Linked DNA regions of Caenorhabditis elegans. The protein of the gene in region 1 interacts with the protein of each later gene in a pairwise test. Each region holds a gene or a part of one and is shown on either strand. Other genes may lie near its edges.

Region 1 (4,289 bases):
CGCGCAATATGTGGATGTCGAACCTTCATGGTGATCTCCAATTCGCGCGGGAAGAATTTCTCCGCCACGTTTGCCGGAATCGATTTTCGATCCACGATTTTCACAATCACTTCTCGACGATAAAGCTGCGAATCCACTTTGAAGACAACCGAGTGAGCGGTGGTGGCAATTGGACGAGGTGAGAATGTTCCAGACACGCTTAGTCCAATTCTACAGAAATTCAAAGGTTTTTAGTCTCAAACTAGGCCTGTAAAGTTTTTCTGAGGGAGCAGAAAGCCCATGCGCCTTTAGGCGATTACTGTGTCTTTTGCAATCAATTTCACAATCAGATTTTCTAATTAAATTTCGATTCTCTTTCGAAAAATAACAGGAAACCCGGAAAAATTGCGAAATAATCTGAAAAAGACCGTACTTTCTTAAAGGCGCACTCCTCATTTCACTCAAAGGTCCTGGCACGATTGTTACTTTTTAAAGCGAGCCGTGCGCTTTTAAAGGGGTACGGTGGAAATTTTTGCCGATTTCGCAATTTTTCCTGATTTTTCTTCCGCGGAATTCCAATATTTTGAGAATATTCGTTGGAAAAACGGCGAAAATCAAGAAAAACTCGAATTTTTGACCTCCAGAAACTCACATCGGAATCAACTTTTCTGTAGACGGAGAGAGTGTTGGCGTTGACATGTCATAACAATAAGGAATGTAGTTTTATTCGATAAAAAAAAGGTCTCACGCTTTGGAAAATTCGAGAACAAAGAAAAGTTCATAAAAATATAAAATACACGTGAAATTAAAAAAAATTAATTGCTCTATCACCAATCGTTATTCATATCACCGAAATCTTCCATAAGAGCATCTTCGTCAGCAGCTTCCTTGGCTTCCTGTTCCTCTCGCAGCCGCTCTTCCTCCATCATTCGATACTCTTCCTCGACATTTTCATCAATTTCAGCGGTTTTTTGGTCGGATTTTTCAGAATTTTTAGCTTTTTCAGTCGTGACTTCTGAAATTGAAAGATTTTTTGATTTTCTAATAACAAGTTTGGATAAATTTTGCAACCTTTCTCTGGTAAATCCTTGAATAAATCATCGTCATTATCACTCGCTCCATCATCAATAATTCCATTCTTTTGATTCTCCTGCTCCTCGTGCTCAGAATCCTCGCCAGTCTCTCCAAGCCGGTGCTTGATCATGAAAACTTTAACCTGCCGCCGTGTTCCCAGTGTCTCGACTCGATTCAGAACATCTTCGGTTTTCATCTTCGGAAACATCAAATGTCCCCAGTATGCGTATTTTTTCATCAATTTCTCCAGATTTGCGTACTGAAAAGGGAAAATTATTGTATTTTTTAACTTTCAAATTTACCGGATCATCCTTGGGATTTGGCTTGAAATCTTTTAAAGTCTCCCGAAGAGCTGAAATTCCTTTCGGCCCGGTCAAAATTCGCTCATTCAGTGCTAGGCGTGGATTCTAAAGTTTGAAAAAATTTAAATAAATCATAGAAAATAAGCGTTTTACTGCTAGTCTTTTAGTCCTTAACAATTTCGGCTCCACGACTCGTCTAGTGCCTCCCTCGCCGCTGTTATCTGAACAAAACTTTAATTAAAACCCGATTTCTCACACGAAATTCTAGATACCTTCGATTGCTTCGTCTCCCATAGGGCTTGGCTCTCGATCCAATTCATCATTTTCGAAGAAATCTTCCATTTCGTCCATTTTTCTGGAAAAAAAGTTGATTTTCGATCGAAATTTCTAGGTTTTCGTGCAGAAAACGAAAAAAAATGCAAAAATCTTAGCGTTTAAAAAACTATTTTCAAACAACGCGCCGACAAAATCGGCTGAATCGCGTCGAGACCCGATCGATTAAATGCGTGCGCCTTTAAAGAAAGTCAGCATTCTCTTTGTGTTCTTGGCTAGAAAAAGTGTTCCAGTCCATTTATTATCTGAATTTTCTGATTTAAACGCATTTCTTAAGGTTTTTTATTAATTAAACCACTTTATTGTTAATATATCACTGTTTTGAACAGCTTATTTCGTAAAAAATCCCAAAATTCTTCTGGAAAATGAGAAAAAATCTAGTTTTTCGCCAAATTGTCGCATTTCTTTCCAGAATAACAATGTCGATCGCCCAACAACTCATGGATATGGGCTTCCCAGCCGACAAAGCCGAGGCCGCCGCCGGAAACAACAGAAATCTCGATCAGGCGTTGGATTGGATTGAGAAGGACGGAGCCGGTGTACCAATGGAGACAGATGCTCCAGCTCAAGCTGCTCCAGGAGCCGCTGACAGTGGTGCACCCCCGGTAGCCGCCAGTTTTAAGTGTGATGAGTGAGTTTTTCCCCCCTACGATTCTTATTAATTATTTCTCCAAATTTTTTTTTCCAGCTGCGGAAAGCTTCTCGCCAACGATGATGCTATCATGTTCCACGCTTCGAAGACAAAGCACGAGAATTTCAGCGAAAGCTCGGAAGCTATCAAGCCTCTCACTGCAGAGGAAAAGGCCGCAAAAGTCCTGGAAATCCGAGAAAAAATCAAAGTCCATCAGGCCAAAAAGGCAAAGCTCGAGGCCGAAGAGAATCGTGAGAAGGAGAAAAAGCGTCGTGAGGATGGAAAAGCCATGATCAGCCATAAAGAAGCCGCCAGAGATCGTGAAATTCGGTTAGAAAACTGTTTTCCATTGAATTTAAATAATAATATTCCCAATTTGCAGAGAAGCCGCTCAAGATCGTCGCCGCGAAAAGAACGAAGACGAAATCGCCAGAAAACGAGTTCTCGAGCAAATCCGGCTTGACAAGGAAGCCCGTAAGGCAAAAGCTTCAGGCCAACCGGTTCCAGAGGCAAAGCCTGCTCCGTCTGCAGCTCCAGTTGCTCCGCCAAAAGACTACTCAACTACAACTCTTCAATTCCGACTTCTCGATGGACAAACTGTTAGACAACAGTTTGAAGCTAATGAGCCGGTAATTTAAATATTCTCGACTCCCTTGAATTAATTTTTCAGCTCGCAATGGTCCGCGCCTGGGTCGAAACTAATCACGCAAACGGTGTTCCGTTCACCCTGATGACCCCATTCCCCCGCAAAGTGTTCACCGAGGATGATATGGGAACACCGCTCAAAGTTCTCAGTGAGTTTTGCTCAAAAAGGCCGGATTTCATGATGAAACTTGGAAATTTTCGAAAAAAAAAGTGGACGATTTTCAGCTATTTCGCCAACTTTTCCTGTTCACAGCTGCCGGAAATTTATTTTTATTCGATTTTTGTCCTTCTTCAGCAAAAAGACTCAATTTAACTGAAGAATCTGAAAAAGTGCTCAAAAATGGCCTAGAAGTCACGAATTGTCAATTGTAAGGCAATTTTTGAGCACTTTCGAATTTTTCAGTTAAATTAAGTATTATTTTCAGAAAAATCAACTGATTTTCTATATTTTGACACTAATTTTTAAATATTGGAGCAGTATGGTGCAATTTGACTTTAAATGTGCCTAAATCAACGAAAAAAACGCTAAAATATATAGATTTCTGCTGTAATTGGGCCATTTTTTCGAAAAAAATAAATAAAAATTTGAAAAGTTTCGTTATGAATTTTGGTTTTTTGAGACCAAAAAAATGTTCATTCTCTAATTTTTTTTTAAAATTTTCAGATTTGGTACCATCCGCCAACGTCATTCTCAACCGTGCCGCCTGAATCTTCAAAACTAAATTCCCACAATTTACTGCTAATTTTCTCTCCCCCCTCTCCCGAATGCTGGTATCACTTGTAAACTAAACATGTATATTGAGCATGTATAAAAATTTTCCGATAAACTTTTTTCCCCTCCATATATCTCGAGGCTCTTCATCTCCTCGTGATCTTCGAATTCCCGTCAGTTTTGCTCTCCGAGCTCTTGCCACAGATTTCTGACAAGCTGCAGGACAATCATATCTCCAGAGTGATTGGAAGCATTAGAACCTGGAAGATATTGGAATAAAAACCTGCGTACTGCACAACATATTTGACGCGCAAAATATCTCGCAGCGAAAACTGCAGTAATTCTTTAAATGATTACTGTAGGTCGATTTACGGGCTCAGATTTTCTTTTCGATTTAATTTAAGAGGCCCCACCAAAACGGAATGCAACTCAAAACAGGATACAGGGGCGGAGCCTATTTCGCAACCACCGCATGCTTTTTCCGCAAGCCTCGCACGTTTTTTCTCTTTAAAAAATGCAACAACATCAAGGAAAAAACGTGCGAGGCTTGCGGGAAAAGCATGCGCGGTTGTTGCGAAATAGGCTCCGCCCTTGCATCCTGTTTTGGTGAATC
Region 2 (5,779 bases), on another chromosome or scaffold:
AAAAAAAACAAAAGCACTGTAGTGTGAATTTGTTCGTGACGGTGTTTCTTACAAAAATGTGCATATTTGCGGCAAATTTTGTGTTTTCAGATATTTTTAAGAATTTGAAAACTATTGGCACTTATCAGTTACTATCAATATTAATATCTGATCTAAAAGATTCATGTGACAGACAACGAGGACAAGGAATTTTTGAAAATTGGCCAGAAACGAGTTCAACAAGCTTGAAGATAAGCAACTATAGTACTCAATTCGGCATTTTCTTTGTTAAAAACCTCATGACTATGTACGAAATGCGTGCACTCCTATGAGTGTGGAGACAATATCGATGGAAAATGATATCAATGAATGAAAAAGCACTTCTACTTTCCAAAAGATCAAGAACAACTGGATCGCTAAATAGGTTTGATGATTGATATTAAAACCTGGTCCAAAAAATTACGTTAAACTTAGGCAACTTATCTTAAATACAGCTTCCCATTATCAACGGAACAACCAGTCATTGGTCATGAGACAATTCCACCTACACAATCACAAATAATAGTTTGAATATGGCAACACAATCGTACACAATTATGATTACAGACATCGTACATTTATATGTCAAAAACGGCAATACATACAAAACATTGGGAGGGATGCAAAAAAATAAATGGGATATACTTTTTGATCAACTGGGATGTAGGTATCTACAAATTTTTTCTTCTCGCGAAGATCATCCGTAACCATTAATTTCTAAAGCGAAAACATGGGCTCAATTACAATAAATAGTGGTAAATCGGGGGTTGGAAAGGGGTGAAATACGAGGTGAAAAAGTGGGTATGGGAGAAAATAAAACGAGTATCATACATAGACTCAGTAGATAAACTCAATACATTAGTTATAAAGGTCGTCATCATCCTGAGCAGGTACAGGGGCAGATGGGGCATCGCTTCCGCGTTGTTCTCCTGGGAATTTGAAGTTGTTTCCAAAGCCACGAGATTGTTGCAATGTTTGTGCAAACATTTCGTACCTACAAACATATTTTATAGACATACAATAAAACCATTATCAAAACTCACTTTCTGATGTCATTGTCTGTAACAGAGCGTCTGGCAAACTTCATGGCTTCCTCGAAGTGAGCACGAGTAATTTCTGGTACTGGATCAACTGCATCGTCTTCCATGAGCTCCTCACCGCGAGCTTGGCGATCTTGACGTTCCTTCTCAATCCGAATTTCCTTTTCGATCGATTCGCGAATAGCCAGCTTACACGCTCTGAAAATGTCATCGTTCACACCAGGAAAAATAGAATATCGGGGCCTTAGCGCGACTTTAGATACTCTAACTATTATAATTTACTGTGAGACGATTTTTTATATAGCACAAATATGACACTCGCGTAACCATGAACACAAAACTTGGCAGAATCTGAACTGCAAAACGCAGCTAAGAAGAGCCAAGAATGTGTAGATTTCGCAAGTTCTTAAGTTGTGCGTTTTGAACAAATTTTCAAATAATTAAATTACTCACCTCTGACAAATTTCGGTCAAATCGGCTCCAGAGAATCCAACAGTGTTTTTGGCCAAGAAGGTCAAGTCAAGATCCTTGGAGAGTGGGGTTTTACGAAGAGAAGCTTTCAAAATTTGGTGCCGAGAAGCTTCGTCTGGGAGTGGGATGTAGATAAGCTGATCAAGGCGACCTGGACGAAGAACAGCTGGATCAATGATATCAGGTCTGTTTGTAGCTCCGATGATGAACACATTTTTCTTCGCGTTCATTCCATCCATTTCGGTGAGCACTTGATTGATTACACGATCCGATGCACCTCCTCCATCACCGCCGGCGCCTCCACCTCTTGCCTTGGCAATCGAATCCAACTCATCGAAGAACAACACGCAAGGAGCAGCTGCACGAGCCTTGTCGAAGACATCACGGACGTTAGCTTCCGATTCTCCGAACCACATTGTGAGCAATTCTGGACCCTTGATGGAGATGAAATTGGCTTGACACTCGTTGGCAATTGCCTTGGCAAGAAGTGTCTTACCACATCCTGGTGGCCCATAGAACAAAACTCCTCTTGATGGCTGCATTCCAAACTTGAGATATTTTTCTGGGTGTTCCACTGGATACTGAACCAATTCTTGAAGTTCGCGCTTGACGTTTTGAAGACCTCCAATGTCGGACCAAGTTGTATTCGGAGTTTCGACAACAGCCTCGCGGAGAGCGGATGGGGAAGACTTTCCTTGAGCAAAACGGAAGTTTTCCATTGTGACAGCGAGTGAATTAAGAACCTCTGCATCAATTTGGTCATCTTCGAGATCAATGAGCTCCATCTTTTCACGAATCTGTTGAAGAGCGGCTTCCGAGCACAACGATGCCAAATCGGCACCAACGAATCCGTGACATTCATTTGCAATTTGTTCAAGATCAACATCATCCGCGAGCTTCATGTTTTTCGTGTGAATGCGCAGAATCTCAAGCCGGCCGACTGCATCTGGAATTCCGATATCGATTTCACGATCGAATCTTCCGAAGCGACGAAGAGCACCGTCAATCGAGTTTGGACGATTTGTTGCAGCAATGACCACAAGGTTAGAACGACCCTAAAATAATTATTATTATCGAATCATATAAAATTTAAAAGCATACCTTGACTCCATCCATAAGTGTAAGCAATTGAGAAACAATTCTGCGCTCAACTTCTCCATTGGTCTTCTCGCGTTTTGGTGCAATGGCGTCAATTTCGTCAATAAACAGAATAGCTGGTTGATTCTTCTCGCATTCTTCGAAAGCCTTACGAAGATTTGACTCGGATTCTCCAGACATCTTTGACATTACTTCAGGTCCGTTGATAAGGAAGAAGAAAGATCCGGTTTCATTAGCAACAGCACGTGCAATAAGAGTCTTTCCTGTGCCAGGTGGACCGAAGAGAAGAATTCCACGTGGTGGCTTGATACCAATAGCCTTGAAAAGTTGGGGATGTCGAAGTGGCAGTTCAACCATTTCCTTGATCTGAGCCAATTGCTTCCGAACTCCTCCCAAGTCATCATAACCAATATCATTCATGCTCTCTTCTTCTTCTTCTCTCTTGATCGGATCTCCTTCGTAGTGAATCATGGTATCAGGTGACACAATGCAGGCTGGAGCTGGCTCAGTTTCGACAACTTTGAATTCCACAGTTCTCATGGCAGCTTGAACAGTGAATATATCTCCCTTGTGAAGTGGGCGGTAAGCCTCCAGGAAGTATGGCTTGAGGAAAACATCGAACAAGTTTCCAGTGAGTCCTTCGATAGTGTCATCAATAGGGAGCACGTGAATGCGGGTTCCGTAACTGAGATTTGGAGCTGGCGTAATGCTCACGACGTCTCCGAGGCGAATACGAAGATTGTTGCGGACAACACGGTTCATGCGAACTTTCTCGTTTGGACAGGACTCATCAGAGACAATGATGGCGACAGATTCCTTTCGCTTCTTTCCCTGCAAAAATAATCATTAGAATCGAAAAATAAAATTTAATTGTGTGACAACCGTTTAAAAATCGAGATCAGCACCTTTGCGTGGTGTTAGGATTACGAAATACTTTGAAACGATTCGTTACTTGATCTATATCGCACAACTATGACACTCATAAAACCATCAGCAAATAAACAGTACTAGCTTCAAAACAGAACGTTTTTCAGCCTATATTGTAAATCACAGACATTACAAGTTCTTAAATTGTGCGTTTTAATCAAAAATTAAAAAGAAACACATACCTTCAGGATGACAGCATCTCCACGGAAAAGTCCCAGTTCGTCCATTTTAGCTTGGGAAACTGCGATGACGGAATTATCATCCTGCTCGGACTGATCGACGATCAAGCGATTCGGCTTTACCTTGTCCTTGAGAATAGCTGTCGACAGCTCATCATTTTTCTTCTCTTTTTCGCTTTGATGCGTTGGAACCGAGGCCATTATGTACAATTTAAGACCTAAAATAAGAAGAATGAGTGTCCAAAATGATAGTGGGAACGAAACTATAAAAGAAAATTGAGATTTTAAAAAAGTTCACGAAATTATTTCTAAAAACGACACAGATTTGAAAATTGTCATCATCCACGCATATAGAAGCGTGTTTTCAACAAGTGTACGCAAAAAGTGTTTGGTGATTCTGACGTTAGGGCGCGGTTGCTTTATAATTTTAGCGCGAAGTTTGAAAAGGATTTTCACTGTTCAAAAAATTTTAAAATTTCTAAATAACGAGACGTATTTGTAAATATTTGCGATGAAAAGCGTTGAAACTTCAAAAAAGTTCTTTGAAAACGGAAACGCAGTTTACAATTTTTTGAAATTTTTCGGAAAAAAGGAACTAGTAAATAAAATCTACCGTTTGCACGTTTGCGGTAATGTATGTAGCTGGGTCCAGGATGAAAATATGAAAAGGAAAAAAAGTGGACTGTAATGTAATGCTGGTTTGGAAAAATAACTGTTATTTGCAATAACGCACATCAGCGTTTGGGTCTCGAAACGATATGCCGTTAGTAAATGCAGCACTTTGTAGATCGATAAAAATGATTTGCAGCATCACCCGATCGATAGACGGAGAACGAAGAGATGTGAAACGAGACGAGAGGAGAATAGTCTTAAGATTTTGATTCTTGATAGTTTCCCAGATCTATGAATTTAATAAGTTGAATAATTTCCAAATTATTTATTCCCGATCGAGAATTAGAATAAATTAAACAAATAGATTAATGGATTAACATTTGCCATTGGATGGTCTTCTTTTGATTCCAAGAGCACGATTAGCTTCATCAATTTGAAGTTTTTGAAGGGAACGACGTTTACGACCTCCACCTCCACATCCACAGCATCCGCATCCGCAACCACATCCACAACAGCATGGTCTACAGCAGGTACAACATCTAGTACAGCAACAAGTTCTACAACAAGTACAACAACATTTGGGTCTACAACAGCAGCAGCATCTTGGTCTGCAACAGCAACATCCACATCCACCACCACCTCCTCCACATCCACAACATCCACAACATCCTCCATTTCTTTTAACACGAGAAGATCCGATAATTGATGTTTCAGATGAAATTATAGATATTTCTGTTGTTGATACTGGCAAAACTCCTGATTCAACCTATAAGTTTCTTAAATACGAGAACTAAATCTATTAATCTAACCTGTGAAATCGATACAATTGTATAAATCAGTACAACTAATGTAGATCCAATTATGAATTTGGTCATTTTGATCGAATAGAAACTGATGAATATCTCAATTTTATGGTGCTTTTATATAACTTTTCCATGATCCAAAGTGTCTTAGTTTTTGTGTTCAATTTCCATGACGCGGCTCGCGCGGAGAGATCACAAAAAATGGTTTCCGGCAAAAGTGTCAAATGAGAGACGACAAACACGTAAGAAGAAGAGGGTATTTAATGGATGGAAATTCGAAAACCATATCGAACGCTAATAATCTGAAATGAATAAGATCGTACTTCTGACTCTCTTTGCCCTTATTGCTATTTCACAGGTATCGGTAAAGGTTCTAAATGTTAGAAAACACAATACTATTATAGGTTGAATCAGGAGTTTTGCCAGTATCAACAACAGAAATATCTATAATTTCATCTGAAACATCAATTATCGGATCTTCTCGTGTTAAAAGAAATGGAGGATGTTGTGGATGTTGTGGATGTGGAGGAGGTGGTGGTGGATGTGGATGTTGCTGCTGCAGACCAAGATGCTGCTGCTGTTGTAGACCCAAATGTTGTTGTACTTGTTGTAGAACTTGTTGCTGTACTAG
Region 3 (5,115 bases), on another chromosome or scaffold:
TTATATTGATTGAATACAGCACATGTTCGTATGATTGTTTTTATTTTATAACCTGTTGGATGAAAAATATTATTAATAACTCACTTGATCTGGAAATTAACAGAGACTTCTCCTCCAATTACAATTTCCAATTCTTTCTGTCTAACAACTAAATTATTTGTCGCAAATGTGAATGGAACCAAGAAGAGAACGAGCAAAAATGCCACCGGGAAACTCATTATATCATTCTGGAAACAATTATACTTCAAAAAATGGAAGCAAAATATAAAACAGGAGTTGTGAATAGAGAAAACGACGCTTTATATCATCAGTTTTGGCATTGAAATGAATCAATAACATAAATTGAGCGAGAAAAAGAGAAACAGCAAAATAGTGAAAAACGAATGATTGACCGAGAGAACGGGGGAAGGTTGGAATTTTTGTAAACAAACGAGGGAAACATCATGTTGAAAACATATATATACACATTTTTTATTTAATGCGTCGGAATATTCAGAAAATCGTTCAGATCATCGATAATTTTTATTGATAAAAGACCAAAAATCCAGTTTACATGAGGAAAACAATACACTGTGAATTTTAAAGAAAATTAAATATTCCAAAAAAATTTAATTTAATTTGTAATTTGGGAAACTGAAACAATAAAACACTATCGAAAACTTAAAAAAAAACATGGATTGAAGCTCAAAAAAACTGTTTTAATGTTTCGTTTTGTAGAACTTTAGATTTTTGTAAAGCGGGAGACACCACGAATCCGCAAGAAGTTTCTTCCAGAAGCAGATTCGCTGAAAAAAAATGAAGTTGTCTTAAACCTGATGCTTTTTTTTGATAATTTTTATACATTATGTGGTTTCCTGGTTGGCCATTTTGTTAAAATCATTATTTCCTGTAATAAAAGTCAGGCGTTCTCAGTTATTTCCAGATATCGGATTCCTAAAATAGCTGAACTCCAAAAAACGGTCAAGTCTCTGAACACCAAACGCGCTCCTTCGAACAAAAAAAGCAGCGCGTACGTTTAACGAACAGTTTTTTCTTCTAGAAATTGTTTTCTCATTGCGCAATGCATTGCTCATTATAAATAATTATGTTTTAAACAGTTGCTGGGAGGTTTTCGCTATCTCAGTCGTTGTTAAACAATTACCAGAGTGTGTTATCGTATTTATCTTTGCCGTATAATATCTTTTCCATATTTATGCGATTGCGGAAATTTACCACTGACTCTGCGGAAACTGCGGAAATTTACCACTGAAATATCACTCATATCGTACGTTTCTTTGAATTCGTCTCCTTGTTATTCAAATTATGTCTTCGTTTTTGAACGAGATATTTACCTCTAGCTTTCTAGATCGTCACATCACTTAGGTTCGCCTTGAACTTCTGTTCCGCTAAAGACGGCTGGTTCACATATATTTTTAACAATGTAATTATTACTTATGACCCGAATAAAACGGTAGAACGCTTTGTGAAATTATTCGAAAGCAAATGCGCCCCAAGGAGAGAGTGTGAATGAGAGGCTGCGTTTTGTCATCATGTAGAGGCAGCATTGGGGTGTTCTGTAGAGAACTTAGTCTACGTGTCTCATCTTCCATATTTCTTAATTTTGTTCTATTGGCTCTTTTTGCATCTCTTCTTTGATTCGATTCTTTAACTGAATTAGATCAGAAATTATACTTGAAGTTTTATCTTGAAAACCTACTGTAGAAAAGTTTGTCCGTGTTCTACTTTCTTATTAGACTTTCGCGTTTCGGCCTTTCCTATGTTCTACCCCCATCTTCCGTTCTTTTTTATTATTCCAAGATTTTACAGAGAAGTCGTTTAACCATGGCCTCAGTTCCGACTCAGAGAGACGAGAAGGAAAAGAAGAATGATGAGCTGGCTACGGCTATCTTGAAAGTAGGTTTTTCTCCAAGGTAATCATTTCAATATAATTAACTCTTTCAGGACAAAAAACGCCCAAACAGACTCATTATCGATCAGTCTGACAATGACGACAACTCCATGGTCATGCTCTCACAGGCCAAAATGGACGAGCTGGGACTCTTCCGTGGAGATTCGGTGATTTTGAAAGGAAAGAAACGAAGAGAGACTGTCTCTATCGTTCTTAATGCGGACAATTGCCCGAATGACAAGATCAAGATGAACAAAGTGGTTCGAAACAACCTCAGAAGCCGTCTTGGAGACGTTGTCAGTATCTCAAGTGCTCAACTCGAATATGGAAAAAGGGTTCATGTTCTTCCAATTGATGACACAATCGAGGGATTGACTGGGTATGTTCTTGCCACGGAGAAATAAAGACTGTATTTTTTATTTTAGAAATCTATTTGATGTCTTCCTTCGGCCATACTTTACCGACGCCTACCGCCCAGTGCACAAGGGAGACATATTCACTGTTCAAGCTGCAATGAGAACTGTCGAGTTCAAAGTTGTCGAGACGGATCCTGCTCCGGCGTGTATTGTTGCTCCAGATACTGTTATTCACTATGAAGGAGATCCAATTAAAAGAGAGGAAGAAGAGGAGGCTCTCAATGAAGTTGGATACGATGATCTCGGAGGTGTTCGTAAACAACTCGCTCAGATCAAGGAAATGGTTGAGCTCCCACTTCGCCATCCCCAACTTTTCAAGGCTATCGGAGTGAAACCACCACGTGGAATTCTTCTGTTCGGTCCACCAGGAACCGGTAAGACACTGATCGCAAGAGCTGTCGCCAACGAAACAGGAGCATTCTTCTTCCTCATTAACGGACCGGAAATTATGTCTAAAATGTCTGGAGAGTCGGAATCGAATCTTCGTAAAGCATTTGCCGAGTGTGAGAAGAACTCACCTGCTATTTTGTTCATTGACGAGATCGATGCGATTGCTCCAAAGAGAGAAAAGGCTCACGGTGAAGTCGAGAAGCGTATCGTCTCGCAACTTCTCACACTTATGGATGGACTTAAAACTCGCGCTCATGTTGTCGTGATCGCCGCTACTAATCGTCCTAACTCTATTGATGGAGCCCTTCGTCGTTTCGGTCGCTTTGATCGTGAAATTGACATTGGAATCCCTGATGCTGTTGGCCGTCTGGAAATTCTCAGAATTCATACCAAGAACATGAAATTAGGAGAAGACGTTGATTTGGAACAAGTTGCAAACGAATGCCACGGATTTGTCGGAGCTGATTTGGCTTCCCTCTGCTCTGAGGCTGCTATTCAGCAAATTCGCGAAAAGATGGAGCTGATTGATTTGGAGGATGATACAATTGATGCTGAAGTTCTCAATTCTTTGGCGGTCACTATGGAGAACTTTAGAGTAAGTTATCATTTTTTTGCACTTAAGAGACGTATCATTAATCATTTTTCAGTTCGCAATGGGAAAATCATCCCCATCTGCTCTTCGCGAAGCCGTTGTGGAAACTCCAAATACTACTTGGTCCGACATCGGAGGTCTTCAAAACGTCAAGCGCGAACTTCAGGAGCTCGTTCAATACCCTGTAGAGCATCCAGAAAAGTATCTCAAGTTCGGAATGCAACCATCTCGTGGAGTTTTGTTCTACGGTCCACCAGGATGCGGTAAAACACTTCTCGCTAAAGCGATTGCCAATGAATGCCAGGCTAACTTCATTTCCATCAAGGGACCCGAGCTTCTTACTATGTGGTTCGGAGAATCCGAAGCTAATGTTCGCGACGTGTTTGATAAAGCTCGTGCTGCCGCTCCATGCGTTCTCTTCTTTGACGAACTCGATTCGATCGCAAAGGCCAGAGGAGGAAGTGTAGGAGATGCTGGAGGTGCTGCCGATCGTGTTATCAACCAGGTTCTCACTGAAATGGATGGTATGAATGCCAAGAAAAACGTGTTCATTATTGGAGCTACCAATCGTCCTGATATCATTGATCCAGCTGTTCTTCGTCCAGGACGTCTCGATCAGTTGATCTACATTCCTCTTCCTGACGAAGCATCTAGACTTCAAATTTTCAAGGCCTCACTCCGCAAAACGCCCCTTTCCGCCGATCTCGATTTGAACTTCCTTGCCAAGAACACCGTCGGTTTTTCGGGAGCCGACTTAACCGAAATTTGCCAAAGGTTTGTTATAAAAATTAGTTAAAAAAATATTCGCATTTGTCAATTAATACCATTTTCAGAGCATGCAAGCTTGCCATTCGTGAATCAATTGAACGGGAAATTCGTCAGGAAAAGGAGCGTCAGGACAGAAGTGCTCGTGGAGAAGAACTTATGGAGGATGAACTGGCTGACCCAGTTCCAGAAATAACTAGAGCACACTTCGAGGAGGCAATGAAGTTCGCTAGACGTTCCGTGACTGATAACGATATCAGAAAATACGAGATGTTCGCCCAGACTCTTCAACAATCTCGTGGATTTGGAAACAACTTCAAGTTCCCAGGAGAAGCTCCTTCTGCTGGACAACCTGTTGGAGGAAACGGTGGCTCCGGTGGAAATGACGATGATGACCTGTACAACTAGATTTCGCTAAAATTGTTTTATTCTATTTATTGTAAATGCATCCTTGCGAGGGTATCAAATGTTCTCATGAATGTTAAATTTATTTCCAACTTTTACAAGTAAAAAAATCGTAACCGTAAAAAGTATTTGTTAAAATCTTATGCTTTAACAGAGATAGCAGGAGGGACCGGGGAGGATTCGGGTGAAATGAGATCAGTGATGGCTTTATGGATAACCTTGAACCACTGTTCACGGCATTCGTCCCAGATCAGTTCAAGCTCTGTTTCATCAGAATTGTTTGCTAAAATAGTGATTTCTCCATCAAACATTTCAATGCCGTCGTCTTTTAGTTGCAAGTGTGGATCATAGAGTAGAAGCTCGTTTGATAATTCCTTCCAATTCACTTTTTTGCCTTTGATGATTTCTGACAATGAGAGAGTGATCGGCATGCAGTTTTTATCTTTTATCAAATCTTCTGATTCTGCTGTAGACATGATATTCAGTCGTTCATTCTAAAATTATTTGAAGTTATTGCAAAATAAAGTTCAATAATCTTACTTCTTGATCGTAAACGAGCTCGGCGACAAATGGGCATTCCGATTTGGCAGGATTCGGATCGAGGCTTAGGCTTCTGTCAATTTTCTGGAATTTTTTATTTGAGTTCAATTTGTTTTAGA

The links. Proteins that work in one complex are often made in the same cells at the same time.
Region 2: the proteins of ubxn-1 (region 1) and cdc-48.1 interact in binary tests that used the Caenorhabditis elegans proteins (3 or more experiments, as listed by UniProt).
Region 3: the proteins of ubxn-1 (region 1) and cdc-48.2 interact in a two-hybrid assay, tested with the Caenorhabditis elegans proteins (3 studies listed by BioGRID).

The regions. Positions count from the first base shown.
Region 1 is NC_003279.8:2,431,904-2,436,192, forward strand, and holds ubxn-1 (UBX domain-containing protein 1), read left to right. Parts: upstream 1-2,098; 5' UTR 2,099-2,107; coding exon 2,108-2,319; intron 2,320-2,376; coding exon 2,377-2,649; intron 2,650-2,701; coding exon 2,702-2,948; intron 2,949-2,989; coding exon 2,990-3,113; intron 3,114-3,628; coding exon 3,629-3,672; 3' UTR 3,673-3,788; downstream 3,789-4,289. Other genes in the region: F23C8.8 (Protein kinase domain-containing protein), read right to left, coding at 1-210, 632-678; tipn-1 (Protein TIPIN homolog), read right to left, coding at 807-994, 1,051-1,312, 1,356-1,460, 1,509-1,576, 1,628-1,706. UniProt on the Caenorhabditis elegans protein: Ubiquitin-binding protein which acts as an adapter for ATPase cdc-48.1 and/or cdc-48.2, conferring substrate specificity.
Region 2 is NC_003280.10:10,559,457-10,565,235, forward strand, and holds cdc-48.1 (Transitional endoplasmic reticulum ATPase homolog 1), read right to left. Parts: upstream 3,952-5,779; 5' UTR 3,935-3,951; coding exon 3,737-3,934; intron 3,609-3,736; exon of another isoform or gene 3,496-3,608; intron 3,459-3,495; coding exon 2,631-3,458; intron 2,585-2,630; coding exon 1,512-2,584; intron 1,479-1,511; exon of another isoform or gene 1,261-1,478; intron 1,257-1,260; coding exon 1,062-1,256; intron 1,013-1,061; coding exon 877-1,012; 3' UTR 575-876; downstream 1-574. Other genes in the region: C06A1.6 (uncharacterized protein), read right to left, coding at 4,719-5,111, 5,155-5,220; C06A1.7 (uncharacterized protein), read left to right, coding at 5,456-5,506, 5,553-5,779. UniProt on the Caenorhabditis elegans protein: ATP-dependent chaperone which probably uses the energy provided by ATP hydrolysis to generate mechanical force to unfold substrate proteins, disassemble protein complexes, and disaggregate protein aggregates.
Region 3 is NC_003280.10:8,136,690-8,141,804, forward strand, and holds cdc-48.2 (Transitional endoplasmic reticulum ATPase homolog 2), read left to right. Parts: upstream 1-1,806; 5' UTR 1,807-1,821; coding exon 1,822-1,893; intron 1,894-1,941; coding exon 1,942-2,267; intron 2,268-2,313; coding exon 2,314-3,289; intron 3,290-3,341; coding exon 3,342-4,060; intron 4,061-4,119; coding exon 4,120-4,459; 3' UTR 4,460-4,541; downstream 4,542-5,115. Other genes in the region: ctns-1 (Cystinosin homolog), read right to left, coding at 85-218; ints-11 (Integrator complex subunit 11), read right to left, coding at 4,597-4,950, 4,997-5,080. UniProt on the Caenorhabditis elegans protein: ATP-dependent chaperone which probably uses the energy provided by ATP hydrolysis to generate mechanical force to unfold substrate proteins, disassemble protein complexes, and disaggregate protein aggregates.